5 linked regions of the Bombyx mori genome follow. The protein of the gene in region 1 binds, or shares a complex with, the protein of each later gene. Links are inferred from orthologs where the notes say so. Each region holds a gene or a part of one and is shown on either strand. Other genes may lie near its edges.

Evidence for each region.
Region 2: transcription termination factor 2 (region 1) and A-kinase anchor protein 17A share a complex: the UniProt entries of both Homo sapiens proteins name them as parts of the spliceosome. The link is inferred for Bombyx mori from reciprocal best matches to the Homo sapiens genes TTF2 and AKAP17A.
Region 3: transcription termination factor 2 (region 1) and ATP-dependent RNA helicase WM6 share a complex: the UniProt entries of both Homo sapiens proteins name them as parts of the spliceosome. The link is inferred for Bombyx mori from reciprocal best matches to the Homo sapiens genes TTF2 and DDX39B.
Region 4: transcription termination factor 2 (region 1) and uncharacterized protein LOC778507 share a complex: the UniProt entries of both Homo sapiens proteins name them as parts of the spliceosome. The link is inferred for Bombyx mori from reciprocal best matches to the Homo sapiens genes TTF2 and C9orf78.
Region 5: transcription termination factor 2 (region 1) and nuclear inhibitor of protein phosphatase 1 share a complex: the UniProt entries of both Homo sapiens proteins name them as parts of the spliceosome. The link is inferred for Bombyx mori from reciprocal best matches to the Homo sapiens genes TTF2 and PPP1R8.

What each region holds. Positions count from the first base shown.
Region 1 is NC_085131.1:1,918,223-1,924,532, reverse strand, and holds part of transcription termination factor 2, read left to right. Parts: coding exon 1-64; intron 65-877; coding exon 878-1,069; intron 1,070-1,692; coding exon 1,693-1,831; intron 1,832-3,275; coding exon 3,276-3,460; intron 3,461-3,955; coding exon 3,956-4,130; intron 4,131-4,296; coding exon 4,297-4,460; intron 4,461-5,951; coding exon 5,952-6,109; intron 6,110-6,310. UniProt on the Homo sapiens protein: DsDNA-dependent ATPase which acts as a transcription termination factor by coupling ATP hydrolysis with removal of RNA polymerase II from the DNA template. May contribute to mitotic transcription repression. May also be involved in pre-mRNA splicing.
Region 2 is NC_085127.1:13,379,699-13,385,864, reverse strand, and holds part of A-kinase anchor protein 17A, read left to right. Parts: intron 1-1,823; coding exon 1,824-1,907; intron 1,908-2,932; coding exon 2,933-3,086; intron 3,087-4,996; coding exon 4,997-5,227; intron 5,228-6,166. UniProt on the Homo sapiens protein: Splice factor regulating alternative splice site selection for certain mRNA precursors. Mediates regulation of pre-mRNA splicing in a PKA-dependent manner.
Region 3 is NC_085122.1:1,015,525-1,021,821, forward strand, and holds ATP-dependent RNA helicase WM6, read left to right. Parts: upstream 1-3,770; 5' UTR 3,771-4,162; coding exon 4,163-5,440; 3' UTR 5,441-5,590; downstream 5,591-6,297. UniProt on the Homo sapiens protein: Involved in nuclear export of spliced and unspliced mRNA. Component of the TREX complex which is thought to couple mRNA transcription, processing and nuclear export, and specifically associates with spliced mRNA and not with unspliced pre-mRNA.
Region 4 is NC_085120.1:2,478,834-2,485,819, reverse strand, and holds uncharacterized protein LOC778507, read left to right. Parts: upstream 1-3,254; coding exon 3,255-3,450; intron 3,451-5,942; coding exon 5,943-6,427; downstream 6,428-6,986. Other genes in the region: malate synthase, read right to left, coding at 233-491, 953-1,206. UniProt on the Homo sapiens protein: Plays a role in pre-mRNA splicing by promoting usage of the upstream 3'-splice site at alternative NAGNAG splice sites; these are sites featuring alternative acceptor motifs separated by only a few nucleotides. May also modulate exon inclusion events.
Region 5 is NC_085126.1:4,080,286-4,087,125, reverse strand, and holds the start of nuclear inhibitor of protein phosphatase 1, read right to left. Parts: upstream 4,438-6,840; 5' UTR 4,303-4,437; coding exon 4,274-4,302; intron 3,880-4,273; coding exon 3,665-3,879; intron 3,041-3,664; coding exon 2,932-3,040; intron 2,106-2,931; coding exon 2,003-2,105; intron 1,463-2,002; coding exon 1,379-1,462; intron 615-1,378; coding exon 404-614; intron 1-403. Other genes in the region: MRG/MORF4L-binding protein, read left to right, coding at 5,682-6,033. UniProt on the Homo sapiens protein: Inhibitor subunit of the major nuclear protein phosphatase-1 (PP-1). It has RNA-binding activity but does not cleave RNA and may target PP-1 to RNA-associated substrates. May also be involved in pre-mRNA splicing.

The sequences.
Region 1 (6,310 bases):
CAAGGACCTCGACCTCTTCGCGCTGCTGCAGTTCCTGCGCTGCTCGCCCTTCGACGACCTGTCCGTGAGTGTCCCGTACCACGTTTTTTTTTATTTTTTTGAATCGTTGGGTGTGATTTCAAACTTGATGGAACGAAATGAAACGAAACGAAAAAATAAGTGTGCCGCGATGGGCTTGCCGAAGTGGGTCCGAGCGGCGCCGATAAATCATGAAGCGCTCCACACGGTCTCGCGTCCCCTACTAGTTCAGTGTGTTTTTGACGTCCGTGCACGCTGTCGTGGCTCTCTGAGCGCCCCGAGATACTTTTATTTCTATTTAGTTTGTTATTAGCAGATGTCGCTGCACATAAATTCAACAATTCCTGAATCGCGGTGACAAGATGTTACACAGTTGATAGACATTCTCGTATTTCTCTTACTAAATTATACTTACCTGGCCTAGGGATACTGTGATCATGCAGGTGATTCCCCCAGGGTGAGGCTGCTCCATTGCACTGCAGAGTGGTTGACCCTTGCGATTATGTTTATTTTTTATAAGTTTCACTTCTACCGAGTGTGACTTGTGCACACACACTTTTTTTTTTGTTGGTTAGCTGGGTGGACGATCTCACAGCCCTCCTGGTGTTAAGTGGTTACTGGAGCCCATAGACATTTACAACGTAAATGCGCCACCTACCTTGAGATATAAGCTCTAAGTTCTCAGTATAGTTACAACGGCTGCCCCGCCCTTCAAACCGAAGCGTATTACTGCTTCACGGCAGAAGTAGGCAGAGCGGTGGTACCTACCCGCGCGAACTCAAAAGAGGTCCTACCACCGGTAACTCGTGTAACTCACTCTCACTGTTCGTGCTCATTACTGTCGAGTCTTTATCATCAGATGTGGAAGAAGTGGATCGACAACAAGAGCTTGGGAGGGCAGGAACGTTTAAGCACCATAATGCGTTGCTTACTTCTGCGGCGCACGAAGATGCAATTACAGCAGAAGGGACAGCTGGCGTGTCTCCCGCAGCGCCACACCCACGAGCAGCAAGTCACTCTCTCCAAGAACGAGATGAATGTTTACCAAAAGGCAAGATCAGTCTGAATGATGACTTTATTCATAGCTAGCGACCCGCCCTCGCTTCGCTTCGGAAACATTAAATTTTATTATTGATAGGCCAGTCCCATGCCATGTTGCGCGCGGTACGACAATAACTGCAGGTGACGCCGCGGGGCGAAGCTAGTCTAAAAAAAGTAGCCTAAGTTACTCCTTATATCATCAGCTACCTATTAGTGAAAGTCTCATAAAAATCGGTCCAGCCGATCCAGCCGTTCCAGAGATTAACCGGAACAAACAGACACACGGACAGACAAAAAATGTAAAAAATGTTACTTTGGTGTATGTACTGTATATATAATTATATGCATTTAGTAAAAAGCGGTTATTTCAAACAGACACTAATTTTATTTATATGTATAGATGATTGGTCCTGAGTCCCGACTCACTGAGTCCGAACTGAGGCTTGAAGCGGTTTAGCCTTTTATTCTTCCAATTTGTGAATTTGTGTATCATTTAAGTAACTCACAATTTACTACTGATCATGTAATAGTCCTAAATGCATAGTAGCTATAACCTTATAAGTGTTCAAAATGAAAATTAATTAATTTGCAAGACAAAGCACCCGAAAAAAAAAATTTATTAAATTTGTCCAGGTGCTGGTATTCTCGAAGACACTGTTCGCTCAGTTCCTCCACCAGCGCGCTGAGAAGAACTCTGAGCAGTTTGGTGCCCCTCTCCCCGACAAGGACTCGGAGTACGCGAAGATGCACAAGAGAATGATCGCCTTACAGGGTATGTTCATGTTTACAAAACAATGGTGATAATGTGGAATGTCTTCTTTATTCTCACCTTAAAAAATAGTTTTTAATAAATGAATTTTTTACGTGACAACGTCTTATAATTCGATGGAGCCGGCTGCACGCACGAAAAAACACGACTCATGCGGCGTTACCTCGCTCTGATGCGTTCCATTTAAGGCTTGAAGTGCAAGCCAGAGCGCGCAACGAGCGACAAAGAGGCACAATCGGCCTCCGCGTTCGGCAGCGTTCGACATCTGTCTCTCTCCTACTTGAGTGAGCGATGCATCCGCGTGGACAGCTGCTATACAATAATACATTTGCATGTTTTCGTCAAGTATGAAGTTCAGTGAAAAGTGAATGTGGTGTCAATTGTTTATAGCAACAATAATTGCGATAATTGAAAAATGAAACCATTCCATCAGTATTTTCTTATGACATTGTCACGTTCAACTATCGTCAGTAAACCGACTTTACAGACAACCGATTTTTTTAATAATTATTATTATATTACATTGTGTATTAATTGTATGTATATTTACGGATATGTCTATGTATGTATGTGTACATATATTAGTACACCGCGCGTAGTTCGTTTCCAAATGATTCTTGTCCACCTGATGGTTGTCTGGAAGAGATCGCTCTTAGTGATAAGACCGCCAATTGTACTTCTTTGTATTTAATGTATCGCACTGTTTATTTGTTTTTTTGGTGTACAATAAAGAATACTCTCTCTCTCTCTCTCTTTCTCAAAAATGGTCTTTATAATACTGATTGAAATATGGATTCTTTTTGTGTCTATCTCAACAAACAAACTGCATAAATCCAACGCTCCTTTGAGACGTTACATTGGAATAATATTCCTTCGATAGCTCGGCTATAAACACATATCTATATCAAAGTTAAAATTTTCCAACACATCCCAATCAACTTATCGTCACAGACTATTCTTAAAGAGAAGTATATTAAAACTCAATTTAAAAAAATGCTTAACAACAAATACGTACATATACCCTAGAACCCATTGAAACACCGCCCACTGATTTTCTCGCCGGATCTTCTCCACTGAGAATATCCGGCGAGAAACTATCTAGATTCTAACTAGATTCTGCGAAGCACGGCTCTTGCTAGGGTTCGTGTTAGCAACGTCGTCAGGTTTGAGCCCCGTGAGCTCACCTACTAGTTAAGGTTACGCTGAAATACCCTCTCAAGGCTATCAGCTTAGGTAGGAAAAAAAAACCCACTGAGTTTATCGCTACAGCTTCTCAGTGGGTCGCGATTCCGGTCTGGTGGTAGATTCTGTGAAGCACTGCTCTTGCTAGGGCCAGTGTTAGCAATGCAATGTTGAGCCCATGAGCTCACCTACCCCTCCACATGAAATTGTAATAGCCCCTTTGGCTACCAACGATGAGCTAGGGAAAAATGAACTCTATTTGAAGGTGCTAAACCGGTCAAGTCCCACGAGATCCTGGTCCTGTTGCTCCGTCTGCGGCAAGTGTGCTGCCACTGCGGACTCATAGCCGCCATGCTGGACGACGCCGCGCCCGACCTCGATGCGGACCCGGCCGGCAACGACTTGCTCGACGAACTCAACAAAATGTCGCTCGAGGACAGCCGGAAGGAGGTATCTTTTTTTTTATTTATTGCTTAGATGTGTGGACGAGCTCACAGCCCACCTGGTGTTAAGTGTAACTGGAGCCCATAGATATCTACAACGTAAATGAGCCACCCACCTGAGATGACGAGATAAGTTCTAAAGAACTCAAGAATAGTTATAACGGCTGCCCCACCCTTCAAACCGAAACGCATTACTGCTTCACGGCAGAAATAGGCAGGGCGGTGGTACCTACCCGCGCGGACTCACGAGAGGTCCTACCACCAGTAGTTACTGCTCACTCACACATTACTCGAGTCATTAGCTATTAGAATGATTTGGACAGGCCATAATAATAATTAATCCAGCTAATCATCAGCCCAGTATAAGCCGTGCCAATAAAGAAACGAATCGAAAATGGCGGCAGCGATCATGCGCTCTCACTCTAAACTATTGCTGTCTTTAGTCGCTGATAATACTTGATTTTCATTACATACCTCTCAACTAAATATAAACATCTCGCAGAGTTCGAAAGACGATGAAGATGAATCCGAAGGTGTCCAAGAGGAAGGCACCACGGCAGCCGAAGCCATAAGGTCTGTCCTGAGTCCGAACAATCCCGTGTTCGAACTAACCAGGCCTTCATCAAAGATCAACGCTGTCATGGAGTGTCTCAAAGAGAATGTATTTTCTAAGCCAGGTCAGTTGCCCCTGGGTTGTGTAGAGTTCTTTGCAAATAACTTTATAGCAAAAAGTTTACCAATTCGCAATAAAAAAAATCAATAACAATTAGCACCATAATCCCTATATCCTGTGAAACACTTATCTTAAAACAATTTTAAATTTTCTAACGTCAACTTCAACAGGTGAAAAGGCAGTGATCGTGTCACAATGGACAAGTGTTCTTCACTTGGTCGAGAAGCAGCTGTCAGCCATGGCGGTCCGCAGCGTGACGCTGAGCGGGAGCGTGCCGGTGACGGCCCGGCCCGCGCTCGTGCACGCCATCAACGACCACAACAGTGCCGTCAAGGTACGCAGACCAGCTCATACAGTAGGGGGGCAGCCCCCGCCATGGGGTCCGCAGCGTGACGCTGAGCGGGAGCGTGCCGGTGACGGCCCGGCCCGCGCTCGTGCACGCCATCAACGACCACAACAGTGCCGTCAAGGTACGCAGACCAGCTCATACAGTAGGGGGGCAGCCCCCGCCATGGGGTCCGCAGCGTGACGCTGAGCGGGAGCGTGCCGGTGACGGCCCGGCCCGCGCTCGTGCACGCCATCAACGACCACAACAGTGCCGTCAAGGTACGCAGACCAGCTCATACAGTAGGGGGGCAGCCCCCGCCATGGGGTCCGCAGCGTGACGCTGAGCGGGAGCGTGCCGGTGACGGCCCGGCCCGCGCTCGTGCACGCCATCAACGACCACAACAGTGCCGTCAAGGTACGCAGACCAGCTCATACAGTAGGGGGGCAGCCCCCGCCATGGGGTCCGCAGCGTGACGCTGAGCGGGAGCGTGCCGGTGACGGCCCGGCCCGCGCTCGTGCACGCCATCAACGACCACAACAGTGCCGTCAAGGTACGCAGACCAGCTCATACAGTAGGGGGGCAGCCCCCGCCATGGGGTCCGCAGCGTGACGCTGAGCGGGAGCGTGCCGGTGACGGCCCGGCCCGCGCTCGTGCACGCCATCAACGACCACAACAGTGCCGTCAAGGTACGCAGACCAGCTCATACAGTAGGGGGGCAGCCCCCGCCATGGGGTCCGCAGCGTGACGCTGAGCGGGAGCGTGCCGGTGACGGCCCGGCCCGCGCTCGTGCACGCCATCAACGACCACAACAGTGCCGTCAAGGTACGCAGACCAGCTCATACAGTAGGGGGGCAGCCCCCGCCATGGGGTCCGCAGCGTGACGCTGAGCGGGAGCGTTTACCTTTTTTCTTATATTTTGAAACTAATGGTACCGTAAAATAGGGAGAATCGGGACACTTTTTAAGTTCCACATTGATTTTTAACGTTTTTTTTAGTTATAGTAATAAAATGGAGATTAGAGTGGTTCCGAAGGCTAAATTTTTATATACGATGTGTTTTTATTCCTAGTTCATTACAAAATATACACAAAAACTGAAAAAACTGGCTTGACCCGATTCACCTTGATTTTGGGGTGAATCAGGCTATGTATGGGGACAATAGAGTTTTTCGATAGGGCTGGCACTATTTAGTTGTTAGGTAGGTACCTAACTTTAGCTAATTATTTTTTTAATATCTTTAATGACTTAAAAAAACTTTGATGACTAAATTAAACTATTTAATATTTTTAAACACTAATTAAAAGTCATTTTCAGTTCAACAAAGTTTAATCTCTAACAACTCAACAAAAGTATTGTGACATCCCAAATTTGTCCCTATTCTAAGTCTCTATTCCTCCCAATCTACTGTACTATCATTTTACTCCTCTGTCGATATAGACCAAAAATATCCCTCTTTCTTTCTTTCTTCGATGATGACACGGTAACGTTGTTCGCTCAGGTGATGCTGCTGTCGCTGTGCGCGGGGGGCGTGGGTTTGAACCTGTGCGGCGCCAACCACCTGTTCCTGCTGGACCCGCACTGGAACCCGCAGCTCGAGCAGCAGGCGCAGGACCGCGTCTACCGCGTCGGCCAAGATAAGACCGTGCACATTTACAGGTAACTAACTAGCTGCCCCATATATTAGTCACACTTTTTATTTGGTATAGAATAGTAATAAATAAATAATAATAAAGGATTGTGTGGTTTTATGAAACCACGGTAAAAGAGAAACTTTTTTTCACATTACTAGCTGATCCCGCAGACTTCGTAGTGCCTCAATCGATAAATAAAAGACCTAAGCTTTTGTATAAAATAAAC
Region 2 (6,166 bases), on another chromosome or scaffold:
CCCGTCTATAAGGCTCGTGAGTGGAAAAGAGAGCGAAATACTCGCTTCACCGTTCCGATTTTTTATGAGTAATTCTACTATAGTGTTGTAATTAGTCAATATTGCGCTATCGATACTAACACATCTGAAGCCTCCGTGCGAGTGTAAATTATAAAATAGTTCTATGAGGGTAATATGAACTTCAAATAAAAATAAAAACAATTGATCACATATGCATTTAATTTAATGAACTGATACTTGAGTCGTCTATTATCAAAGGCGGCAATCTGACTTTTGGACAATGATTGGTAAATCAGAAAAACGAATTATTGACTTTGTATTCCATTGGCAGTCACAAAACTCTTCGGAACGACATCTTAGATAAATAACAGGTTAACTATTAACCTTTATTTAATGCAGGTTTTGAACCGTATTCTTTGAAGGAGACGATGATATTCAAATAAATCTGTATTGACATATCAATAAAAAAATTTTGTCCAAATGTACAGATTGCCGCCTTTGATAATAGACGACTCACTTATTGAACAAAATGAACGTAAAATCTTATTAATTACTCTCGCAATCAGATTAATCAGTAGTTGAAGAATTTGATGTACTATTATCACTCCTCACGTACTTCAATAATAAATGATTCGACAACATCCTCCATTAAGCCACCCTTTTTCCAGTAATGTTCCTCTAATGCTAGGACATGTTTATTATGCTAGTGCTCGCCATTCCTTTTTCATCAAATTAAATAGCTATTCGTGCAAACAAAAATACTTATAAGTATAAGTAGTGTTTACAGTAGGAAACACACGTGAATAACACTGCTATCGCAAAATTAAAAGTTACGAGTCGGTAAGCGTACTCTCACGTTAAGGTCGACACTAGTACTGGGAGAGTGCGGGGTATGAAGCGACGGTCGGGCGCGGTGCACGCCCGCCCGCTCCCTCAGCCCCTGAATCCTCGGAGCTCGCGCACGGACTGTATGTCCAGATAGGCCGTGTCGGCCGAGATGAAGATGACGTTTATCTAAAGCAATAATATTGTTCATACTTAAGGTGCTTTCAGACTACGCTATACTATAGTGCCATATAGTATAGCAGTCTATACCTAGTCAATAATATATAGTATAGTACAGTGTGAGCGTGTCCATAACAATGTATTCAAATTCAAAATAATTTTAATACAGATTTTCTATATTAAGTTAGTGGAATTGGCCCCCTTAATTATCAAATTGCCGCCTTGTGGGACTTGGGCCCCATGTTGGGAAAAACTGGACTAGAGCTATTAATTTTGTGTAGTGGACAGTAACTAAAAACCAAATATATTTATGTATGTGTAACACAACGAATCTTACGGTCATCTACTTCAATAAAATTGTATAAAATTTTAAGACGTTGTATTTAAACCGAAATGAAAGAGTGCTCTGAGGAATTGTTTGAGATGATCCCCTCATCTCCTTTCTATCATCGCACCTCCCGCCATCGGAGCAAAGTTCATCCATATTATCTGGAACCGCTGCGTTCATCGACAGTGCGTTTCCAGAGGTCTTTTTTGCCACGTACCATCCGGCTATGGAATGAACTCCCCTCCACGGTGTTTCCCGAGCGCTATGACATGTCCTTCTCCAAACGAGGCTTGTGGAGAGTATTAAGCGGTAGACAGCAGCTTGGCTCTGCCCCTGGCATTGCTGACGTCCATGGGCGACGGTAAAAAATCACCATCATGTGGGCTGTATGCTCGTCTGCCTACAAGGGCAATAAAAAAAAACTTGTCAGAGAAGCTTGAAGTCCGGTTTGTTTTAATTGCTAAATAATAATTTTTGAATATGATTTCAGTTCCTGCGATGTACGGGATGGCGAACCCTTACAGCTTCGGGTACCCGGCGTTCATGCCGCCAGGATATGCCTATGGACCGCAAAGTATGAGTATCACAACATTATTTCACACTAATCTTTGTAAACAAACAACTGCACTCAGTCAATTAGTTAAGAGATGTGTGTTCTGTTGGTGCAAGAGACTGATTTACTTTTTAATTAAATTTTTTATTGCTTAGATGGGTGGACGACGGCCCATACTATGTTAAGTGGTTACCGGAGCCCATAGACATCTACAACGTAAATGCCGCCACCCACATCGAGACATGAGTTGTAAGGTCTCACATTTTAATAGTACAACGGCTGCCTCACCCTTCAAACCGAAACGCATTACTGCTTCACGGCATAATTAGGCTGGGTGGTAGTACCTACCCGTGCGGACTCACAAGAAAAACAATAATACATTGACTATTGAAACAAAATGTTATACTGGAATGGACTGAAACTGCTCCGTAGACCAACTGAATGTTACTGTTTGGAACTTGAATCTTATATCCCTGAAGGTAACGATAACCTGGCCTCTGGCAAAGTTCAGGAGTATGGAAAAATTCCAAGGAGTCCAGTGAAGACTGTCGTGAGTCAGATTAAGGTATCCTTCAACCTTATGTGACAATTACTTGCTATACCTCGATACTTTTCTATTGTGTTATCTAACTTCTTTTTATAACAACTATTATTATGATTAAAAATAATCTGGGAACTGCACCACATAATTTATATAATAATACTCATGGTAAAATATTTTAAGAAAGATATTTAAAAAAAAAACTTCCCAAAGAAAGCGGACTTAGTTAATGAATTATTGAACAAATGTATTTTCCAGTCTTTATTTCATGCTTTTGTAGGTCTCCTGTGGTGACTAACTCAACAAAACCGCGAGTCCGGATGTATTGTGACCTTGGGATGTGAGGTGATCAGTAATTCTGATCACATACATAAAATAAGCTAATTATTATTTTTTGTAAACATAGCATTATTAGGAATCACAGTGCCTATTAACAAACAGACCGAATTTAATATATTTTTTGGAATTGATTCGCTTGTTATTAATGTGTGATAAATGTGCGTAGGTTCAATGTACTACCCCCGCGCGGCGTACCCTGCGGAGTGGGCGCGGCGCGCGGGCGGGGCGCGGGGGCGCGGGCGCGGCGTGCGGGGGCGCGGGGGGGCGCGGCCGCGGATGCCGTACTTCGACGGACCGGACGCCACCGCGCAGTACTACAGGTCTGTATCGAGCCGCCCGGGGGTTAATGCCATTTTTTTCATTCGTACCTAGCTGAGCTAAACTTCCTTTTGACTTTTCTCATGGTGGTTTTCTTGGGAAAAATAGTAACGGTATCTTCCCATTCCTTTCCGTCCCAAAACTTTTTAGAAGGGATTTAGCCCCCCTAGGCCAAATCATTGGAGAAAGTTATTGGAGTTGGTGTAAAAACTGGACCAAGGTGGTCACGACCCTCAGTAATAAGGAAGCCACAAAGAAGAAGAAGAAGCAGATAGCCTTGAGAGGCTATTTCAGCGTAACCTTAACTAGTAGGTGAGCTCGCGGGGCTCAAACCTGACGACGTTGCTAACACGAACCCTAGCAGGAGCCGTGCAGAATCTACTACCGGATCGGAAACGCGACTCACTGAGAAGATCCGGCGAGAAACTCAGTGGGCTGTCTATGGGTTAATTTACTCGTCGAGTTTTTTTTTAATTTTTTTTATTGCTTAGATGGGTGGACGAGCTCACAGCCCACCTGGTGTTAAGTGGTTACTGGAGCCCATAGACATCTACAGATCCATAGCCGCAAGCGACGTGTTCGACGAGGACGGTGACCGGTGCTTGAGGTACCTAAAAGCATCGTTAGTGGATCGGGAGGATCCGAAATGACGTGTTTTGGGCGACGTCAACTGTTAACCATTTGGTCCGCAGGATCAGCTATGTAGTTTCCGGAGAGGATTCTCGTGTCGTGCCGCTTTATCGAAGTGGCGCATTGATGCCGACTGTAGATACTTACTGATGGACTCTAGGTCCAGATTGCAAATGATCATCTCACTTTTCGTATCGAAATTCAGAGTGGATGCAGTGTGGGAAAATTGTAATAACTGAGGAAAGATGGATATGTGTATCTCTCTGTTCCACGCTTTAATGGAACTTCACATTGGACTACGTCATGTCTTTAGGAGCTGGTCGAGGGGGTTCCTCCACTGAATACTCGCACAATATTGTGCCTTATTTTGTAGCCACTACAGCACATATTCGTCAAAACAAATATTTTGTGTGTCAATTTGTTCGTGACGTAATGTTAGATTGTGTTGTAACACTGTCCAGTTACCGTTGACACTTCAGGGATGTTGTTTGCTATAGAATCACGTCGTACAACAGGTGGCGCGCGGGGGCTCTGAAAACTTAGTGACAGCTCGCCGAACGTGACCAGGTTCCACTAATCTATATATATAAAAAATAATTGCTGTTCGTTAGTCTCGCTAAAACTCGAAAACGGCTGGACCGATTTTATTTATCGATTGAGGAATTACGAAGTCTACCGGGTCAGCTAGTGAAGTATAATATGTCGGAGACGGTCATTAGTTTGGTAGCTGCAAACACAGCATGATTCCCGAGAGATGGCAGCACGATCGCGGTATCGTCGGAACTCGGCTAAAGGCTTCGTCAAACTGAACGCGTAATTAGCGTGCGTTAGCCTTAACGCCGCGACAGAGCGTTGCGTACTTATAACGCTGGCGCTCTGTTTGACAGTACGTTACCATAGAAGTACAATACATCTCGGCGTCATAGCGCGTCATCAGTTTAGCGCTCTGACGCGCTCTAATTACGCGTTCTGTTTGACGAAGCCTTAACTTCATGCTACGACAGAGCCTAGCCGATGGAGGCGCGTAGACGCCATCACACTTACCAACCAGCCTTCTTGAAGAGCGGTGCCTCCGTCCTAAGACAACAAACGTGATTGGTGCACTCAATATTTCTCTTAGCTCGATCACCCTATTCGCCCCTACGATGTCTGACGATGGTGTTAATAATTGTGGCTTCTGCGACATATAAATAATAATCACTCATGTTTATGTAAGCTGATGTGTCGGTTGAGCGTCCGCATTAAACCAGTGCTATATGATGAGCGCATTGCTCTGTTTCAGATACTTCAAGAAGCTGAAGGAATCCAACGAACACGACGACCGGCTGCATTCTCGCTCCCGCTCTCGGTCCCGCTCCCGCTCCCGCCGCCGCTCGTACACCCGCTCCCGCTCCCGCCGCCGCTCATACTCCAGGTCGAGGTCTCGTTCAAGGAGATCCAGATCTAGGAGTCGTTCCAGGAGTCGTTCAAAGAGCAGAAGCAGACGGTCTTATTCCAAGAGTAGGAGATCTAGGTTAGCTATTACTATATATTAATATATAGTAATATAATATAATAGTAATATTTACAATATATATCGACGCTTCAAAGGCAAACGAGACTAAGCGACAATAACTGCTTTGTACACAAATGATGGGCATTAACCATATTCGATGCGCAAAAAAAAATATTTCTAGGTCTATTAAATCATTTCAATCCTACAGCTAGATTCGTTAAAATAGAATTTATGTTCAGGTATTTCAACTTTAAATTAGTCCACCGTAAAGTTCACGCATTGTCGTTTAGTCACTTTTGCCTTTCAAGCGTCGATATATATATTCGTCATGTTCGCGAGTCAGTGCCCTAGAGCCCCGGGACTGCATATATCGACGAGCGAAAAGCTATTTGACTTAAGTGACATTTTTGCTACTTTACAGGAGAACCATGTAAAATTTGAAAAAATAGCATGACAAAAATCTCCATCATCTATTGAATGGGAAATGGACTTCGTAGTGCCTCAATCGATAAATAAAAGACCTAAACTTTTGTATAAAATAAACTTAAAACAAACAAAAGGAATCCGTCCGACGGGGGACACATCAAAGGAAAAACAAAATTGTTATTTTTATTTAATTCCGAGCATTTTCATTCATTTATCTACCTTCTAAACCTTCTCTGGACTTCCACAAATAATTCAAGACCAAAATTAGCCAAATCGGTCCAGCCGCTCTCGAGTTTTAGCAAGACTAACGAACAGCAATTCATTTTTATATATAGAGACTAGCGACCCGCACTCGCTTCGCTTCGGAAACTGTAATTTATTATTGATTTCCCCACTATTTAATGGATGTTATCATACATATAAACTTTCCTCTTTCCATCACTATCTATTAAAAAAAACCGCATCAAAATCCGTTGCGTAGTTTTAAAGATTTAAGTGTACATAAGGACAGACAGATATAGGGACAGAGAA
Region 3 (6,297 bases), on another chromosome or scaffold:
AGAGCGACGTGCATTTTTGACATCAACATTTCCAGATTGAAAACGCTTAAACCAAATTTGTGCTACTCTCACAGACACTGCACTAGGTCCATAAACATCGCAATTTTTTTCACGGCTTGCGTTGGTTTTTTACCCTTTTTGTACTAAAATTTTAAAATGTAATGAATATCTTCATTAGATTCACTCATCTTGACAGTACGAAAAATAATAAAAATCACACATCTTCCTAACTTTAATTGGGAATTATCTTCTTTCGAATTTAAACTTTTAATGATACCAAAACCAGCCAGATACAAATAGTATAGCCAATGAGATTTTATTACAAGTTCATATATTTTTAAGCTATTGCATAGCTTTTATCGGGGACCTTGAGCGCGGCGACCGAATCATGAAACTCCGTAACGAAAAAAAACCTAACATTCCTCACTCCGCCTACCATGTAGCTCGCGTTCAACACATTTACACGTTGCGCTTGTGTAGTGTTTGTGAATAAGCGCGTGGCGTGACGTCACACTGCATGCGCATCATGAAAAGTCTGCCCATCTCTCTCTCGCGCGGTTTAGCTTATGAGTGTGAAGGGGACAGTTAAGGTTTTGCCTTTATTAAAGTTTAATATAGCGTGGTCTTGTTTTATTATTGTTTTAATATTAAATTATCATTGTCTAATTATAATGTCATAAGTTGATAAAAAATGCTATGCAATAGCTTTACCGCCGCAGTTCCCGAGTGCCACACGTTTTTTTTTTGTCAGGAGGAAATCGCCGGACTTCCGCCCTTCACTGGGGATGGAGGGCGAGGCATGTCGAACCGACTAAAACCTCCTGTCGCTCAACAACCAGCATCCAAACCTCGCATGAGACAGAACTCATGAAAAGGCAAAGGGGGGAAAGTGAAGTGTTTAGTGCGGAGCACATCTCTCCCATCACCCTCCCCCTCGGGACGCCGGACTGGCGGTCGTCGGCGCCACGACCACCAGCCCTCTCGGTCGGCAGGCTGTCCGAAACCCGCCTAGATGGCGCCGGTAAGAATGGTCTATCCTACAGAATACCCCGCTGCGTCAGAACCAGCGTTGGTTGAGGATAGCCGGCCTTCCATCACCCGGATGCTCATGCGTAAAACGTGTGCAGAGCAGCTTGCACGTCGTCTTCTTAGGCCCCCTTCACCGGTCCCCAGGTCGACATGTCAGGGAGACCCGAAACACTTAGAGGGCCAGGGCTTGGGCGAGATCCGCCTCCCTGGACCCCGCTTGACGGCGGCGGGCCTGTGCATCTCTCACGCGCCTCGCCGCCTCCTTTTGCGAGATGGTGCACTCGCAGAAGTCGAGCATCGCCTTCCACGACTCGTCGTCACCGAGAATCGATGCCAGAACACTCGGCAACGACAAGTCGTTTCCTATTTTTGCGACGAGGACACGCCGCCACCCCCTCCCATGCGGGGCAGGCGACGAGTGTATGCTCTGCCGTGTCCAAGCCGCAACCACAATGGTGGCACTCTGCCGTCGGCTCGGCTCCGATCCGGTGCAGGATCTCACCGAAGCAACCATGCCCAGTGAGTACCTGCGTGAGCCGGAAAGTGAGGCGTCCTCTGTCACGATTCACCCAATTCACAAGAACCGGGCGAATCGCCTCGACGGTCCTACGACCAGCCGAAGGATCGGCCAGCCGCCTGGACCATGACTCCAGCACTGACCGCCGAGATTGGGCCCTCCACACTCTGATCACACTGAGGCTGGGACGCGCCACGCCCCGGGCACGAAGGTTAGCCCACCACTGATAGTCAGCGGCGGGCGCCTCCGCCTCCAGGACCTAAGGCGGCGTCCCAGCCAGTACACACGCCGCCTCGAAAGAGATGGTGCGATAACCACGGATGATCCTGACTGCGATGGTGCGTTGCGGCCGTTGCAGCAACTTCGCTACCCCCACGGCCAGTGACTGGCCCCACACGGGCGCCTCGTATAAGGCGCGTCACCTGGTCATGCCCCCCGATGTTGTAAAGAAGCCGGCTTAACGTGCCAGCCACCCCCAACAAACGAGGGACCAGATTCTGAAAGTGAACACGGAAGGTCCAACGACTGTCCAGAATGAGGCCGAGGTACTTCAACTGCACCCCGACCCGATACGGATGCCTCCAACCACGATATGGGCATCGATAGGTGGCACTCTCCGCGGCCTGTGGAACCACATGGCCTCGGATTTACTGAGTGTCACGTCGAGGCCCGATTTCCTGATTTTACCGACGACATGCGCCACCCGAGCGGTGGCAAGACGAGCAAACTCAGCAAAACTCCTGTGTCCCATTATTTTATTCTATCATCAATAGTTTTCGTAGGGCACGCGACGTAAAGAATATTTTAGGTAATTTTTTTTACACCTTGGGTTAAATTATTGGAGTTTTAGTAAGGATACCCAATTTTTTTTTAAAAAAGGTTATAGTCTACGTCACTCGGGAATAGTGAAGCTTCCAAACAGTGAAAGAATTTTTCCAATCGGCTTAGTAGTTTCGGAGCCTATTTAATACAAACTAACAAAACTTTCCTCTTTATAATATTAGTACAGATATTAATTATTACAAATAATAAAAACGCTGACTTAGGTGGCGGTTTTTATTTGAACCAGTTCTAAATTATAAACTAAAATTCTATGAAAAATTACCCATATTTATCTATAATACGAAATGATATTAATTTGTTTTTCGTAGTTTCCTTCCTTCTTGCGTCGATAATCCTCAGTGCTGAGGGTCGCGGCCTCCTCTAATAACTTTCTCCTGCATCATCTTGCGCCATTCCTGCCTGTCCTCGGCTGTATGGATAGCAACGTGGACTGAAGTTTTGAGAGTGGAGCGTATTTGGTCCGACCAGCGCATTGGATTTCTGCCTCTGTGCCCTCTCCCGCATACCTTGCCTGTTACCAGCAACTTTTCCAGATTCTCACCTCTCTTTCTGGCGATATGTCCAAAGATCTCTAAACTCCTCCGCGCGCATGTAGTGCGGAGGCGCATTGGAATCTTGAGCTCGGTAAGAATGGATTCGTTGGTTCTGTGTTCTGTCCAACGAATCCCGAGCATTTTCCTCCAGCACCACATCTCAAACGCGTCGATGCGTTGGCGGTCGGCTTTCTTGAGGGTCCAAGTCTCTGCGCCGTAGAAAAAAATGCCACCCAAGCACAGTCCATTTGGAACATAGCCCTCTTTGCCATACTGATTCGCCTTCTGAGGTCCTTTTCGGAGGTTCCATTACTAGCTATGACGGAGCCCAGATAAATGAAATCCTCTACGTCTTCCAGGTTTAGCTTATTCGTAGTTTAATAAGTTATTATTGTTAGTAGTATTATTTACTAGTCGAAATATAAATTTTTAATTATCTTATGATGAGAATCTTATATTAATGAGAAAGATATTCAACAAAAATAGTTTCGTTCTAATAAATTAGCATAGTAATAGTACAGTGAACTAGCAATTTATTTTGGTAATTCTGAATTTAAACAAACATATTGATGAGAAGAATTCATTTTTACTTTGCAAATTTGTAAATACACGCTCTGTAGCAATGTACGGACATATAATAATATGAAGAAACAATAATAGCATCTACAAATATATATGTACTACGTGGTACTACATTTAATAAAATTAATACAACATTTATTAATTAAATTAATGAAATTGTGGTTTTAAAGTTTTAGGGGTGTATAAAAAATGGGGGGCGCTGAAAAATAATTGATATTCAAAGGGGGCGGTAAAAGAAATAAGTTTGATAATCACTGCTCTAAGTATTTCATTTTTAAATACTCATAAAATGGGTCATTTCAAAAAATAATATGACATGAAAAAAATCATATAAAAGACATATTATTCACGTGCTCACGTGAAAATAAAAACTATGATTGCATTATAGCTGTTCGCCTGTGTTCTTCTTTTTACTTTACACAAATAAAATTTCAAATTAATCAAAAATCAAATTGCAAATTTAATTCTCGTAAACTGTTGAGTGGCGAAAAAGCCAAGTGGCACGTCATATTTAACTGTCAAACATAACAAAAAAAGTTTGGATTGACGCCAAAAAAGCCGAAGCCGCCATTATTGTGAAATCGTATTGTAAAAATAAATTTCACGTGCTCACAGTGAGTACGATACAGTAAACAAGCTAATTAAACTAAAGTAAATCATGGCTGACAACGACGATCTTCTCGACTACGAAGATGAAGAACAAGCAGATCAACAGACTGCTGACGGGTCTACCGAAGTGGCGCCAAAGAAGGAGGTTAAAGGATCCTACGTATCCATCCACAGTTCTGGTTTTAGAGACTTCTTACTTAAGCCAGAGATACTCCGCGCTATTGTTGATTGCGGTTTTGAGCATCCTTCCGAAGTTCAACACGAATGCATTCCGCAAGCCGTCCTCGGTATGGACATACTTTGCCAAGCCAAGTCCGGTATGGGTAAGACAGCCGTGTTTGTTTTGGCAACATTGCAGCAGCTGGAACCCTCCGAGAGCCACGTTTACGTGCTTGTAATGTGCCACACCAGAGAGTTGGCTTTCCAAATAAGTAAGGAGTACGAGCGTTTCTCGAAATATATGTCAGGAGTCAGAGTATCAGTATTCTTTGGTGGTATGCCAATTCAGAAAGACGAGGAAGTCCTTAAGACAGCATGTCCTCACATTGTAGTGGGAACTCCCGGTAGAATTTTGGCATTAGTAAACAGTAAGAAACTTAATTTGAAACATTTAAAACACTTCATCCTTGATGAGTGTGATAAGATGCTGGAATCTCTAGACATGAGGCGAGATGTGCAGGAGATATTCCGGAACACTCCTCACGGGAAACAGGTGATGATGTTCTCAGCCACATTGAGTAAAGAAATCAGACCTGTGTGTAAGAAATTTATGCAAGACCCAATGGAAGTTTATGTAGATGATGAAGCCAAACTCAAGCTACATGGACTGCAGCAACATTATGTGAAACTAAAAGAAAATGAGAAGAATAAAAAACTCTTCGAACTACTTGATGTATTGGAGTTCAATCAGGTGGTTATTTTTGTGAAATCAGTACAGCGCTGCATAGCTCTGGCACAACTGCTCACCGACCAAAACTTCCCTGCCATTGGTATCCACAGAAATATGACCCAGGATGAGCGTCTCTCCCGCTATCAACAGTTCAAGGACTTCCAAAAAAGGATCCTGGTTGCAACAAATTTGTTTGGCCGGGGAATGGACATTGAAAGGGTAAATATTGTCTTCAACTATGACATGCCTGAAGATTCAGATACATATCTACATCGTGTCGCCCGCGCAGGAAGGTTTGGTACCAAAGGTCTGGCCATTACTATGATATCTGATGAAAATGATGCCAAGATCTTAAACCAAGTACAAGATCGTTTCGATGTGAACATTACAGAGCTGCCTGAAGAAATTGAGCTCTCTACCTACATCGAAGGACGATAGATTAAGTTTCATTCCCATACCTATTTACTGCTGTGGCTCATTTTGTTGGTAATTAGACTGGCCTGCTTTAACATTGATTTGTAATACATTGAGCCACATTTACTGTTTAACTAGGTTTATCTAATTAAAGTGACATTTCATATTGTGATATCTGAGTGTTTTATTTCTTTACCAACAATTTGGGAGCTTTCATCGTTATCAGTAAGACAGGCTGTGATATGTTTAACTTTAGAATGTAGACAGGAAATTGATATATTTATTTTGACCATGTTCATATTAATGTAACAAAATATCCATTTTGAACATATCATTTTGTCTTTATGACTTCATATTTTTATATTCTTAGACATGCAAAATTTACTGATATTGGATGTTAATACTTCACACAAATACTACTGGATGCATTTGGATAAAATTTCATGCCTAAAAACTTCAGAATAAAACAAGCCATAATTTAATTTAGAGTACCTACGTACAGTGTGAGAGGTGGGGTGCAAGTAGTTTCAAGAAATTACTGTTTTTAGAGCCTTGCTATAGGATAATTATACAGGAACGCGACCAGTTTTAACTGAAAAGTACAGAAGGCCCATGTCCAGTAACTGGTATCCACTACAAAATCAAAATCTATAATTGTCTGCCTACACTATATTGATTTAATTAAACTAAATTAGAAACACGTCCAAAGATTTTTTTATTATATAAACTGGCATTTTAATCTATGTTCACAAAAGACGAAAAAGCGATAATGCTAAAAACATACTTTATTTTAGCACCATTTGCATACAAAATAAATATTTAAATTAAGCTTATAGTCCTGCATTTAATTTTTTTTACTGGTGGTAGGACCTCTTGTGAGT
Region 4 (6,986 bases), on another chromosome or scaffold:
ATAAATAAATTTGTTTTATGTAGAGGTCAAAAGGCTGTTCTGAATCGTGCTATTTTTTGTAAATTTCGTGATAATACCAAAGTGAAAGCAGAAAAGTTGCCTTGGGTACATGAAAAATGTTAAAATGTCGTAGAGTAACATCTGTGAGGTTTGCTAATTTATAATACTTTTTTTTCCCGTATGACCTCTTGCCTCTTGCCAAAAGAAAAAAACTAAAGGAATAACTACTCACAAGTATGTTGTGTTCAATCATGTTCCACGCGCGGGGTCTAAACATCAATACGGGGCAGGTAGTTATCGTCAACGGTGCACCTTGTAGTTTACCGTTCACAGCCAAATTTATGTTGTTGAAAGCGAGAAGTTGGTTCCTCCATGTTGGACAGTGACCGTCATCAAAATCTACTTGGATCCCTTGAACATCCTCATTGAGAGCTACTACGAAATGAGCCGTATTTGAAGCTGACACATCACCAAGATCTAAATGTCTGTTTCTAAAATTTTATTAATTTTTTTTTTAATTCGTTTTTATTAATTTAAACGAAGCAATACAAGTTCGACAACATGCACTTAAGGGATTTTTATCAGAAAAGGGATCAATGTAGATGGGTAAAACGGTAAATTTAATATTCTCTTAACTTTTTTGAATTTTAACAATAAGGTTTTGCATTGGTATTTAAAATTTTGCTACAGTCATTGTTATGCAACAATAGACACTTCTACCCTGTTTAAAGGTGAAGCCACAATAACCCGTCTAGTTTATTGGCAAAACGTAAGGGAAAAATTGGCAATCTATTATGACTAAGAAAACATAACTTGATAAAATTTTATATCTGTTGATAAATTTGGCTTCTATGAGTTTTATAGCATTAAGGTATTATTGATTATTTAGTAAATTATTTATTATTGAAAAATTTGGGTAAATTTATTATTTAAAATACTACTTTTAACTTACTGCAATCTAATAGGCAAAGGCGCTATTTTCCAGCTTTTGTCTCTTCGTTCGGGAGAATTTTTGAAATCAATAAAAGGATCATTTTTTATTTCCACAGCTCGTCGTTTTCTATTCTCATACAACAATTCTATTTTTTTGTCAAAATTACGATGTAGGGCTGCAATAAATTCGAGGACTTCACTAGAAAAAATCGTCTTCTGTAATTCTTCGAGTTTTGGAAGCGGTACTTGAAGTAAAATAACATCGTGCACCATAATGTAGTTATTCTTTTCTTATTTAATAGGTAATCTGCACAGCAAGAAACGCGACACAGCTGCACTTGATTGAAAGTTGTATTGAAATATTCAAATCGGAATTTCGTTCGTGTTCGAAGAAAATAATATCTGTATGATTTTCGTGTTATTGTTTCTTATCACTATATAGTTGATTGATAAAAGAATGATAAGATATAATGTTTGCCTATGTTGGGTGTTTTCAGTTGCCAGCTTAAAAATAAATCAAATTTACTAGGGAAAAATCAAAGTTTTAATGGTAAACATAAAATGATATTTTGTAAAGTTTGAATACAACTATGACTATAAATAGACCTGAAAACCAACCATAATCATCATTGGAACAAACAACTGATTCGAAGTAGAAATCGCTGCTCGCGTAGTAGAAATCGCGAAAGGCTGTTCGGGTATGTAGGATCGGACGATCCGCAGACGATGGTGGTGGCACGGCGGCCCAAGAATGGCATTTGAGACCCTACCCACTAAACAACTCCCCCGCACTTGCTCAGGCGTCCGTAGCCCCCGAGGTCAAAACCCGGGCGGGGTAAGGAAGTACCGTATTAAAAACCCCAAGGACACCCGGAGGCTTACGTACTTGCGGCCTCGTAACTTGCGACAACAGCAACCGTCTCCATTCGGTGAAGATTACGGGTTGGCCGGCAACCCGCCGAGTACAAAGAGCAGCACGGCTGATCACGGCCCGATACTCTAACGAGCAATCTCGAAGCCACGCTGGCAAACCGGTACCTCCCTTTGGAGGGCGTTACTATGTAGTTGAAGTCGGGAACATAACAACTAGCGACAGGAAGATGCAAAAGTAGCACCGGCTCACTACTAACACAAGTAACACAGAGTACCACTGCACACGGTACGCCGGCAAACCATCGGTGCCATCGGGAGGCTCACTCTCTAAGTGGAGCACTCTTCATCAAATGAAGAGCATTGAGAGCACGGCCCTCCTACTCGACTTCGTGCTGGTTTTGGTCCGCATCGGTGCGATCATATCTCTGGGAATGATGACCAAAAGCTGCCATTATCCGCCTCTCACGGAGGCGCACGGTTGGAGACCAGCAACTCCCTTGGGTTTCATTACATCCTACGTATATTACTGTTGATTGGTCTTTAAAGTAGTTTATGGCGTACCTTGTATTGAGTGATATCAAAGCTAATAGAGATCAGAGTGAGAAAGCTATGAGATATACCTTGAGACATGAGGTAGAAATCTAAATTATGTTGTATAATGGTCATCTTACTCTTCAAACTGGAACGCATGACAGCTTGGCAGTGGATGAAATAACTACCTAATGTGAGCCCTCATAGGCACTATCTCAGTATTTAGGTCGCCAAGTAGTTCTACGTTCTGGTTTGTTAAATGAACGAATTGTTATATTCTACAATTAGCGGTAGGTGACCTCTCGTTGTAGATGTGTACTAGCTCTGGTAATCACTTTATTGAAGTTGGGCCTTGAGCTCGTTCAGACGTCTATGCAATAAATAAATGTAATTTTTCCTTTCATATAATGAATGTATCTAAGTAAATTTTTGTAATTTTACTGAGACTACAGTATATTTTAAAGCATCTTATTTAATTTAATTTCATCATAATTACAGTATAAAATAAATAAATTTCATCTCATTCTTCTCCAAATCATTATTCTCAAAGAGTAAAATTTATTTTAAGTATATTTTATCTAGAGATTTTTATTAACTCAACACTGGCAACAATGACATTGCAAGCAGTCATTCTTTAAAAAAGGGAAATAAGTTATCTATGGTAAAAAGATCAAACATAAATAATGAATATGGCAGATTCAGATTCTCAAGAAAATCGACAAGTCGAAGAAATTAAATTGAAATCTAAGAAGCCTAGAAATCTTCGTACGCGTATCAAAGATGAAGACTCTGATGATGAGGAGCACATTTTGCAAAGACTTCAAGAAACAAAAGAAATTCAGAAACTTCGAGAAAGACCTAATGGGGTGAGCATCATAGCCCTGGCAACCGGCGAGAAAGTAACGTTGGAAGATGAAATGACTTGTAAAGATCCTTTTAAAGTTAAAACTGGCGGGATGATTAACATGCAAGCCCTTAAGAACGGGAAACTGAAGCAGGTGGATGATGCGTATGATACCGGAATAGGCACACAATTTTCAGCGGAAACGAACAAACGCGACGAAGATGAGGAGATGATGAAGTACATCGAAGAACAACTTGCAAAAAGAAAAGGTTAGTTCTACTTGAAAATATTTAACGAGCTTCCAAACATAAAAATTTACATTTTGCTTAAACAGTGGACCCCCGGTAATCCTGCCGCTGTCTAATCTGGCACCCCTTGTAATCCGAAATGTCTATTATTATTGAATATTTTTTGACAGTCTTCGCTAATGTACTTAGATAATGCATGATTGAACAGGTTACAACTGGTATGCGCCATCACTATTGTACTAGACGCTTAGGTATTGTTTTGGTTTTGATAGGTTAGTTTGAATTCGACTACTGATAACAAATAGGCATGCGCCCATTTCAGGCTCCATCTTGACCATGAAAGCTTAAGTTTTTTAAAGTACTTAAATAAAATAAAAGATGCTTATGGCCAGCAAGGGGTGGCTAGAAAGTTTCAAAAGTCGTCATGGCATTCGTAAAGTATTTTTTGTAAGTTTTAAAGTATTACTGACGTTAATTTTATAATAAAACGTAAGGTTTCTCTTGTATTTTTTAATTTACTAAATTCAATATACATAATGAAGTATGATTTGCATTTCAGAATATAACATACAGAATCTTATTACTGGATCTGTAATTTATTGGATTATAAAGTACTCTTTTGTAAAAAAATCTGGACTAAAGGGGGTCTTAGGCAGTACTTGTATAATTCGACAAATGTAATAGGTAGTTTGACACTGCCTTACAAAACGTTTGTCGGATTACAGGGGGTCCACTGTAATTTAATGGTTTTTTATTTCAAGACTGAAATTTAAAATCAATCAATAAAATAGTATTTGCATTTTCCATATCACATCCTTGAGGTTCTGTCACATCATAATCAATTACTAATTTTATAGATCCATTACAAGATCATTAAATAAACAGTATCTACATGTTTTCCTAGAACTCATGTAAATTTGTTTTTTTTTTGTAGGTAGTGGTTGTGACCAGTGTCTAGATGGGATTATATGTATATTTTGATATTACTAATATTACTAACACCTAAGCATATATTACATTAAGCTGCATAAGCACTTATTTGCTAAACTATTCTCATGGTATTATGATAACAACACTCCCAAAAGTACCAATAACAACTATACCAAGTTTCATTGCATCTTGAATGGTTTATATAGGAAGAAGAAAAAAAAAAGAAGAAAAAAACAGACTTAATAAACTTGTTAATATTGCTGCTTAAATGAAAATCTAGTATCAATTATGTAAAATACCACTCACTAAGATTCTATATTTGGTCCGAATCTGTAAAAAATATTGTATTGTAAATACTGTAGTAAGTATATTATACACTCAATTGAATTGCACATACCCTACAGAGACACCCACATCCCAACTTAAACAACGTTTAGACATACATGCCTCTTAGAAATATCATGTATGCTTAAATGAAAATTATTGTTTTTACAGGTTGTATGATATTAAGATAGTATAAGTTAGTTGTTTTGTATCTTTGGGTGCAATATTTGGAGCAGGTTTTATGCATAAGTGTGAAGAGGGCTAACCTCTGTGATACTGTTTTTATTGACTGCAGATATTAATAATTTCTTTTGAAGTCGTCGTGGCCTAAAGGATAAGACGTCCGGTGCATTCGTGTGTAGCGATGCACCGGTGTTCGAATCCCGCAGGCGGGTACCAATTTTTCTAATGAAATACGTACTCAAGAAATGTTCACGATTGACTTCCACGGTGAAGGAATAACATCGTGTAATAAAAATCAAACCCGCAAAATTATAATTTGCGTAATCACTGGTGGTAGGACCTCTTGGGAGTCCGCACGGGTAGGTACCACCACCCCGCCTATTTCCGCCGTGAAGCAGTAATGCGTTTCGGTTCGAAGGGTGGGGTAGCCGTTGTAACTATACTGAGACCTTAGAACTTATATCTCATGGTGGGTGGCGCATTTACGTTGTAGATGTCTATGGGCTCCAGTAACCACTTAACACCAGGTGGGCTGTGAGCTCGTCCACCCATAAAAGCAATAAAAAAAAAAAAAAAAAAGCTTATTGATACTTTATATTTATATCACATCAAAATAATTAGTTGGAAGCATACCCATGAAAAAAAATGTGTGTTACATGCACATAACTTGGGTTACTCAGTAAATAAATGCACAAAGATATGTTGATTGGAAACTTGAAATGGTAAATAGATTGTATAGTTTGTTATTGGTGGTAGGACCTCTTGTGAGTCCGCGCAGGTAGGTACCACCACTCTGCCTATTTCTGCCGTGAAGCAGTAATGCGTTTCGGTTTGAAGGGTGAGGCAGCTGTTGTAACTATACTTGAGACCTTAGAACTTATATCTCAAGTTGGGTGGCGCATTTATGTTGTGGATGTCTATGGGCTCCAGTAACCACTTAACACCAGGTGGGCTGTGAGCATGTCCACCCATCGAAGCAATAAAAAATAAAAATTTAGGTCCCTACATAGCTGATAGTATTATTTATAATCGTTTAGATACTAATATAAAATTAACTTGTGCTTTGTAAATTCCAGAGGGATGTGACAAAGACAATAAAGACCACAACCATACAGAAACACTAAAGTATTTGTCTCCCGAGGAAGCAGCCTTACTTTCCTTGCCAGACCATTTGAGAGTCTCTTCAAATCAGAGGTCAGAAGAAATGCTTTCTAATCAGATGCTCAGTGGTATACCAGAAGTAGATTTAGGCATTGACGCGAAAATAAAAAACATTGAGGCAACTGAAGAGGCCAAGATGAAATTAATATGGGAAAGACAAAACAAAAAAGATGGCCCATCTCAATTTGTTCCAACAAATATGGCCGTTAACTTCGTTCAGCATAACAGATTTAACATGGAGAATGATAAAAAACGAAAAATTGAAAAAGTTGTAGTGCCCAAAACAGAAATTAGCGTGATTGATGAGAACGTTGATAAAATAGTTAAGAAAGCTAAAGGGGAAAGAGCAACTGATGATTATCATTATGAGAAGTTTAAAAAACAGTTTAGAAGGTGTTAAAATGGTTGAGGGGAATTAACTATAAGGAAACGAAAATTGTATTAAAAATATGTGATTAATGTAAAAACTTGCAGCGGAGTGAGGGTTTGACTTCATATTACCTGATTCTCTTTTGTGATGTACAGAGCATTAGCCTCTATTCATCAGACATGAGATTCATACCATTCTTGTAACTATAAAATCAAATCTGTGGTCAAATTGTGTATGTTATCTTTATATGGAAACAATTATGATTGTTTTTCAGTATAATTGCTAAAAAAACCCTTTCATATTCTATGTTTCAACTTCTGATATAGTTAATTCTTGACAAATTCATGAGTCAGCAAAAATTCAAATCCAATTAATCTCAAATTTCCATGACAAAACCAAATCAATAATTAACTTCATATTCATTAAATTTGTTCTTTCACTCACAGGAGGGTAGGGAGTATTTTTACATTTTTAATACAAAACTTTCAACTTGGATCTAAGATTTGTCTAGATTCTTTTAGTGGAGTCCGACCTCAGTTGTAATGCTAAATTTGTGTACTATTTTATTATTATTGGTGAATGGTTACCA
Region 5 (6,840 bases), on another chromosome or scaffold:
GTTAAGATAAAAGAACACTTATTGCGGCATAATTATAATAGTTAGACATAATATGCTGTCGCGACACTTTTTATAAATAATAATATGTTCTACAAAGTCGTAGTACATTTTTTTTATTCTATCATCAATAGTTTTCGCAGAGCACGCGATATAAAGAATATTTTAGGTATTTTTTTTACACCTTGGATTACATTATTGGGGTTTTAGTGAGGATACCTAAATTTTTTTCAAAAAAGATTATAGCCTATGTCACTTGGGAATAGTGTAGCTTTCAAACGGTGAAAGATTTTTTCAAATCGGTTCAGTAGTTTCGGAGCCTATTCAAGACAAACAAACAAACAAATTTTTCCTCTTTATAATATTATAGTATAGGACAAGCTAGTCCATAACTTGAACGACTTACTTTCCTCGGCGCTCTGCAGCTTCAGCTTCTTAGGTACGGCGTTCGCATTCGGCACGATCGTCGACTTGACCAAGTTCCTGAAACGGCCTATGGACGGATCTATGTCTTCGGGATTGATAATGTCCACTTCTTCGTTGAAAGACACGTTTCTTTTCTGCTTCTTCGGCACACCGACCGGCATCGAAACGGTACGCTTCGTACCGGTTGTCGGCTGAAAAACGATAGTAATGTTACGCCGGTAAGAGTAACGCCATCTATCGTCCGGATAGCCGAAACGTATATCAAAGGAACTAGTAACGCCGAGAAAGATCGAGAAGTACAACGCCATCATTGTCAGATACCGGAAACACATCGAAGCTACTCGACTTGCCCAGAATGTTCTCGATAAATTTAAGAGGTCGTATCTATACTAATATATAAATCTACAGTGGTTTTTACGGATGTTCCGTTATAACTACTGAACCATGCATCCGATTAACTTGAAACTTGGTATCCACGTAGAAAATACATGTACTTAATGGATAGGCTAATATTTATATGAGTGTTGGACTCCCTACACCAGTTGCGGGGGCGTTAATGATGAGAATCTTTGTGGGGGTGAGAAATAATAATATTAATTTTAAATTCCCAGCGAAGTGGACGGGTACTGCTAGTTACTTATATAATAGGTTAGGTATATATAACAGAAATGTTTGTCTGAATTACTGAACTGTTTTAATCATACTAAGGGGGTATCATGGACTAAGAGGAACATAGTGGATGGTGACACCACTATATTTTCACTGCACAGCTATCATGCGTTCAAGTGGCAACAACTGTTACAGAACACAATTGGGACTTCATCTCAATCATTTTGGTAACCACAAAATACTTTGGGAACCATGTATGGAAAGACTCACTAGTCGATCTTCATATTTACAGCAATATATACATTAAAATGTTAAATACACTTTTTTACAAGAATATACTATTCACCTTGATAACATCAGTTCCATCTTCGGTTGATATACCAAGCATCGATATTCTTCTGTTGTGGGCTGTGTTGAATTCAGTTAAGTTCTGTAAGTCATTGTACAAAAATACATTAACAATACACAGCTACCTAAGTTCAATAAAATATTTTATGTTTATAATTTTAGACCACAGACCACATATTGGTTAGAGGAAGAGCATAGGTCTTCATGAACGCCAAATACTATATCTATAACATTTCCTTAGTAGCAGTATTCTAAGCTTATTGCCATACCGACAAGGGCTCCAAAGCATGAAATCGAGAAAGGAGTATTGAAGTCAAATCGAAATCTAACTCAATAATACACATAAATGTAGGATTGGTAAGAACGGAACGTATGAAAAGAGTGTGGAACGGAGCGTTAAGATGTGAGTGAGAGAAAACGGAAAGAAAGGGAGAAGAGAATGACAGATAGAATGACAGAGAATTTGAAGATGGCGAAGACGTTTGAAAAATGAGTAAGACATAATAAAATTAGTGTTAATTATTAATTACTATTATAATAGAAGATTTTGGAATAGTATAACTTTTATTTTATGCGCTGCGATCCCTTTTCTACATAAATTATACTAAGAACAAAATCTTACATCTAGTTCGGTTTGTGTTTCAGGCAGGCCGAGCAATGCTCCTTCAGTTTCTGTATTAGGGAGATCCTCCATTATACCACGCGATGTCCCAGTCGGGCGTTCTCTGTGAACCATTGATACATTAATTAAAAGACACTTCATAATTCAGAATCCATGAACAGAATAAATCATATCGTCTTCTCGCATTAAAACTGTATTATCTCAAAACTTACTAATTTTATAGGAGAGTGTTTTAAAGGTTTAACAGGTTATATTTTTAATATTAATCATCTTTGCAACATTATTTTTTATTTTGTACCAGTTACGTTATCTGTCTTTTAAAGTATGATAAAATTGTGTACATATTAATTTTGTTAATATTTAGTAATGACAATTTAAGTAAACCAACAAAAAAAGGAAACCAAAACTAAACTACGCTGTTTTAACAGTATTTATGAGAAAAATACTGGTGATACCAAATGATTTCGCATATTAACTCAATTTTGAATATTTTTGTAAATTGTACACTTTTAATGCATACAGACGATATATCCATTGCAGACATATTGGAACGGCTTATGGACTATAAGCTGTTCGGTTTCAAAATGGCTTATTCGTTTGCTCATCTAATTCTAATTTCCTCATATTTTGAGCCCACACAATACACCACTTTCTGCCTGTTCCTGTTACAAAAGTTTCATGCATTTCAGTTTTCAGGGGTGGGTCAAGTTATACAGCTCTATTAAGATTAACTGTAGAGTATTGATGAGGGTTCTCATACATATAATATACATATTATTATTCTCCTATGTATAGAAAGGTCAAATTAAATGTAGGTTTACAAAATATACACATGACTGAAATGTTACTCAACATGTCTGCTTAAGCTTATAAATAGTTAGTTAATTTTAATTTATGTTTCTAAAAAGTAATATTTTTTTTGTACTTGCCTTATAATATAATTCCTGGTTGAAGCTCCAAAATGAAAATTAGAATCGATCGGTAATTGTGTTGGTTTGTTTGATTCTAAGCGCATTTTTCCAATATAAGTGCCATGAGCTAAAAAGTTTGTTATGATTTATAGTTCTACAACAAATTATAAGGGAGTGTTGTGAAACACGTAGACAGGTGAACAAACTCAGGGCCATCTAGTTTTAAGTGATTAGCCTAGTACATAGACATAAAAATACTAATAGCACGTATCCTTTATGCATGGAGCAAATGTTTAAATTTTTACTACAAAAGAACACTCAATCTCATAAAACTAGAAGCCGTGACTGCATTCTTGTAAAAAAATATGACACCGACATGTATGGGATTGTAATAAGCCCTCCTACCACTCATGGTACTTAACTCATAGTAGTTTAAGAAGTAATGTCAAATGATTGATTACATCTTTTCTGATTCATTTTTTTTCTTTTTATTTATTAATCTTAGTGAATGAGAAATCAAAGGTTATAAAACTTGAAGCTTCTCACCAAAACATTTATATTGTCAGAGTAAATTTAATTCACTTTTAACTTAATATCCTACAATTTAACACCTAATTTCAGCCCAAGTGAGCAAACATGACATAAAATTATGGGCCTTCATTCAATTAGTTCAAGAAACATTTTTTTTTGCATAGATACCCATATTTGTGATACAAATTCTTATTCATAAAATTATTACGACCATACTCACTACTACCGAGGTCGACTAAAAATGATCTATTCAAATGTTTGTGGTAGACCAGAGCAGCGTGCACCCTAGAGCAGCTAGCATGATCAATGCAGAAGTCATTCATTTGAGGATTCCGTCCAAATAAATAACATTTTTTCTCGTCTATCATTAGTTTCTGAATTAATTTATCTCCTTTTAGAACGTCTAAGTGGAGTCCGGTTGGCGGCTTACCAGCCCTAAAAAGATAATCAATATTAATTATTGGTTTTTATCAATATTAATTTTTGTATTCCACTCAAAATATCATTTAGATAATATCCACTTTTCTAGTATCATATTTCAGTACCTTCCTAATCTTTGAGTAGCAGATGACTTTTAAAGTAAAATTAAAAACTGTATCTATATATTGATAGTACATGCAGTAGTGCTACATTAATTATAAGATAAAATGTTCTATTCATTTGTAACTGATACACTGCTAAACTGCCATATTATTGTTATCAATTATATAGGTTATTTTCTACAAAGACAAAACTAATGAATACATTTTTATTTGAATGCACATCAGGAATTCATTAAAATAAGTAACCCGGCGTCATTATTTTATGGTTATGTTGCTTTTATACATACCAATTGGGCACTTCATAGTGATTTGCCATTATAATTAAAATTTATAACATTATTAACCAGTTTTCAATTATTTACTAGATTAATGGTTGTGTGAAAAAATAAGGTAATGAATGCACCAGTAAAACACTTTTGGCTTGATTTGTGGACCTTTGACAGATGTCTGTAAGTAATAGTAGTTTTATTTTTCCAACTGAAAAGGCAAAGGTATCATACCATACATCCTAATCTTTTATATTTTTTTTTATATATGAAAATGATATCATGAAATGACATGAAGTTGATTAATATGAAACATGGCATGAAATGAAATGAAAACGAAATGGAATGAATGGGATGAGATGATATGGGATGAAACATAATCTCGATAAAATGGTGGTCATATAACGAGAAATATAATGAGGTGGCTATCATGAGCGCACGCTTACTAGAGTGCGCTATGGTAATGATTGCACACGGGTGCTACCTGAGCTAGAGACGCCTTTTTTTGAGGCAGCCATATTTCCTGTAAATCACTGTTTTTTTGGAAGTCAGCAAAATTAAATGTAGAATACTATTAGAATAGAATAGAATTAGAATATTTAAGAAATTATCACGTTATATCACTTTTACTTTTCTACGGAAATTCAAAAATGTTTTCTTCATCATCAGCCTGCGGCAGTCCACTGCTGGACATAGGCCTCCCCCAAAGCTCGCCACTGAACCCGATCTTCGGTTCTACGCATCCAGTTACTGCCAGAAATGTTTTCTATTAGTATTTAATCGAAATAATTCTGATTGACTCAGTTGTGCTAAGGGTCGTGGGTTCGCTTCCCACATCGCGCAAAAATATTGTGTAATGAACAGGTTTGTTCATTATCTAGCTATGTATAGATTTAAACATATTTAAGTATGTTTATCAGTTTCTGGTACCCATAACACAGGAAATTCTAAATTGGGACCAAACAACCGTGCGTGATCTGTTCCCAGTTATAATTTTTATTTAATCAACTTTGGTCCAAATGATATATTGTATGGGATATAGTCCCGTTGCCTATTCAATAGACGAATAGACATCTAAAGTCTATAGTAAGTGTATTATCTATGAAAACTTCGGCCTTAATGAAATTTTTATTTCAGGAAGAAATTATAAAGGACTTAGCTTTGGCCTTAATGACATTTTTATTTCAGGATATATTAATATATATCATATAAGACCTGACTTCGGCTTTTTTGAAAAATTATTTCAGAGAATATATAGAGCAGACAAGGCTGTATGGGCTTAGAACCCCTTGCCTTTCCTAACAACGAAAAAATGTACCAAAAAAAAAAATTCTATGAAAAAGAGTTCACCGAACAAAACAAATAAAAATTATGTTACTTGAAAATAAAATGAATAACATACTTTCATAACCAAATCAATTAATTAAAAATGGTCTCTAGTGAAGAAGAACCGGAAACAAAGCAGGACGACGCTTTAAAATGGGACGTAGATATGGAGATACAATTATTTTACGCTATGGCCAACCATAAACCAGTTGGTATAAATAAACACTTCCAAATGGCCTGTATATGGGAGAAATTATCGAATTCAGTTACCAAAGAGATATCAACCCAAGATATATGGAAACACTTAGGCAGTTTATATGATTTTACGATGTTAGACGAAGCCGAACCTATACCGTTTCCCAATCACGAAATTACGTTCTGTTTGCCCGAAAATGAATTTGGCGCCTTAATGAAACAGAAATCGAAGGAGGTTCTGGTTAGTGAAGAAACTGAAGGTAAATCGTTTTTTGTTCTTTCATTCATACTAAATTAAATGAGTCGACTATTATCAAAGCCGGCAATCTGACTTTTGGACAATAATTGGTAAATCAGAAAAACGAATTATTGACTTTGTATTCCATTGGCAGTCACAAAACTCTTCGGAACGACATCTTAGATAAATAACAGGTTAACTATTAACCTTTATTTAATGCAGGTTTTGAACCGTATTCTTTGAAGGAGACGATTATATTCAAATCAATCTGAATTGAAATATCAATAAAAAAAATTGTCCAAATGCACAGATTGCCACCTTTGATAATAGACGACTCAAATATGCTGTACAAAAATGTCAAAAATGAGAGACTTAATTAAGGCAACTGTAAACCTTTCATTTTATTTCATTTCACAAATTAAAGCAAACTCTTTAAATACTATTTGATGAATGAATCGCCTTCTCAATTCAGATATAATGAGAAAGATTTAAATTGGATCAAGGTAATTGTTGTAAAAGGGGGCTAAATTATTTTTATAACTAATTTAAATCCTTAACTATTAAATGATAATGTAATTCTCCAAAGTAATGTTGTATGTGCCATAAATTGAATAGAATCAAATAACAAACAAGATTTTTACAATGATTGACTGTAATAGAAATTATTTAATTTTAACTTATGAGCTTGCTATAATATAAACTATTTATGTTAATAATGCTCTAAATGTATCCCCTATATATAGCTTTTGCTCGCTGCTTGCTTACTAAATACTAATGATAGTAGAGAATTAGTATATTAGTATATGTCTGTCAAAATAATGTAAATCTA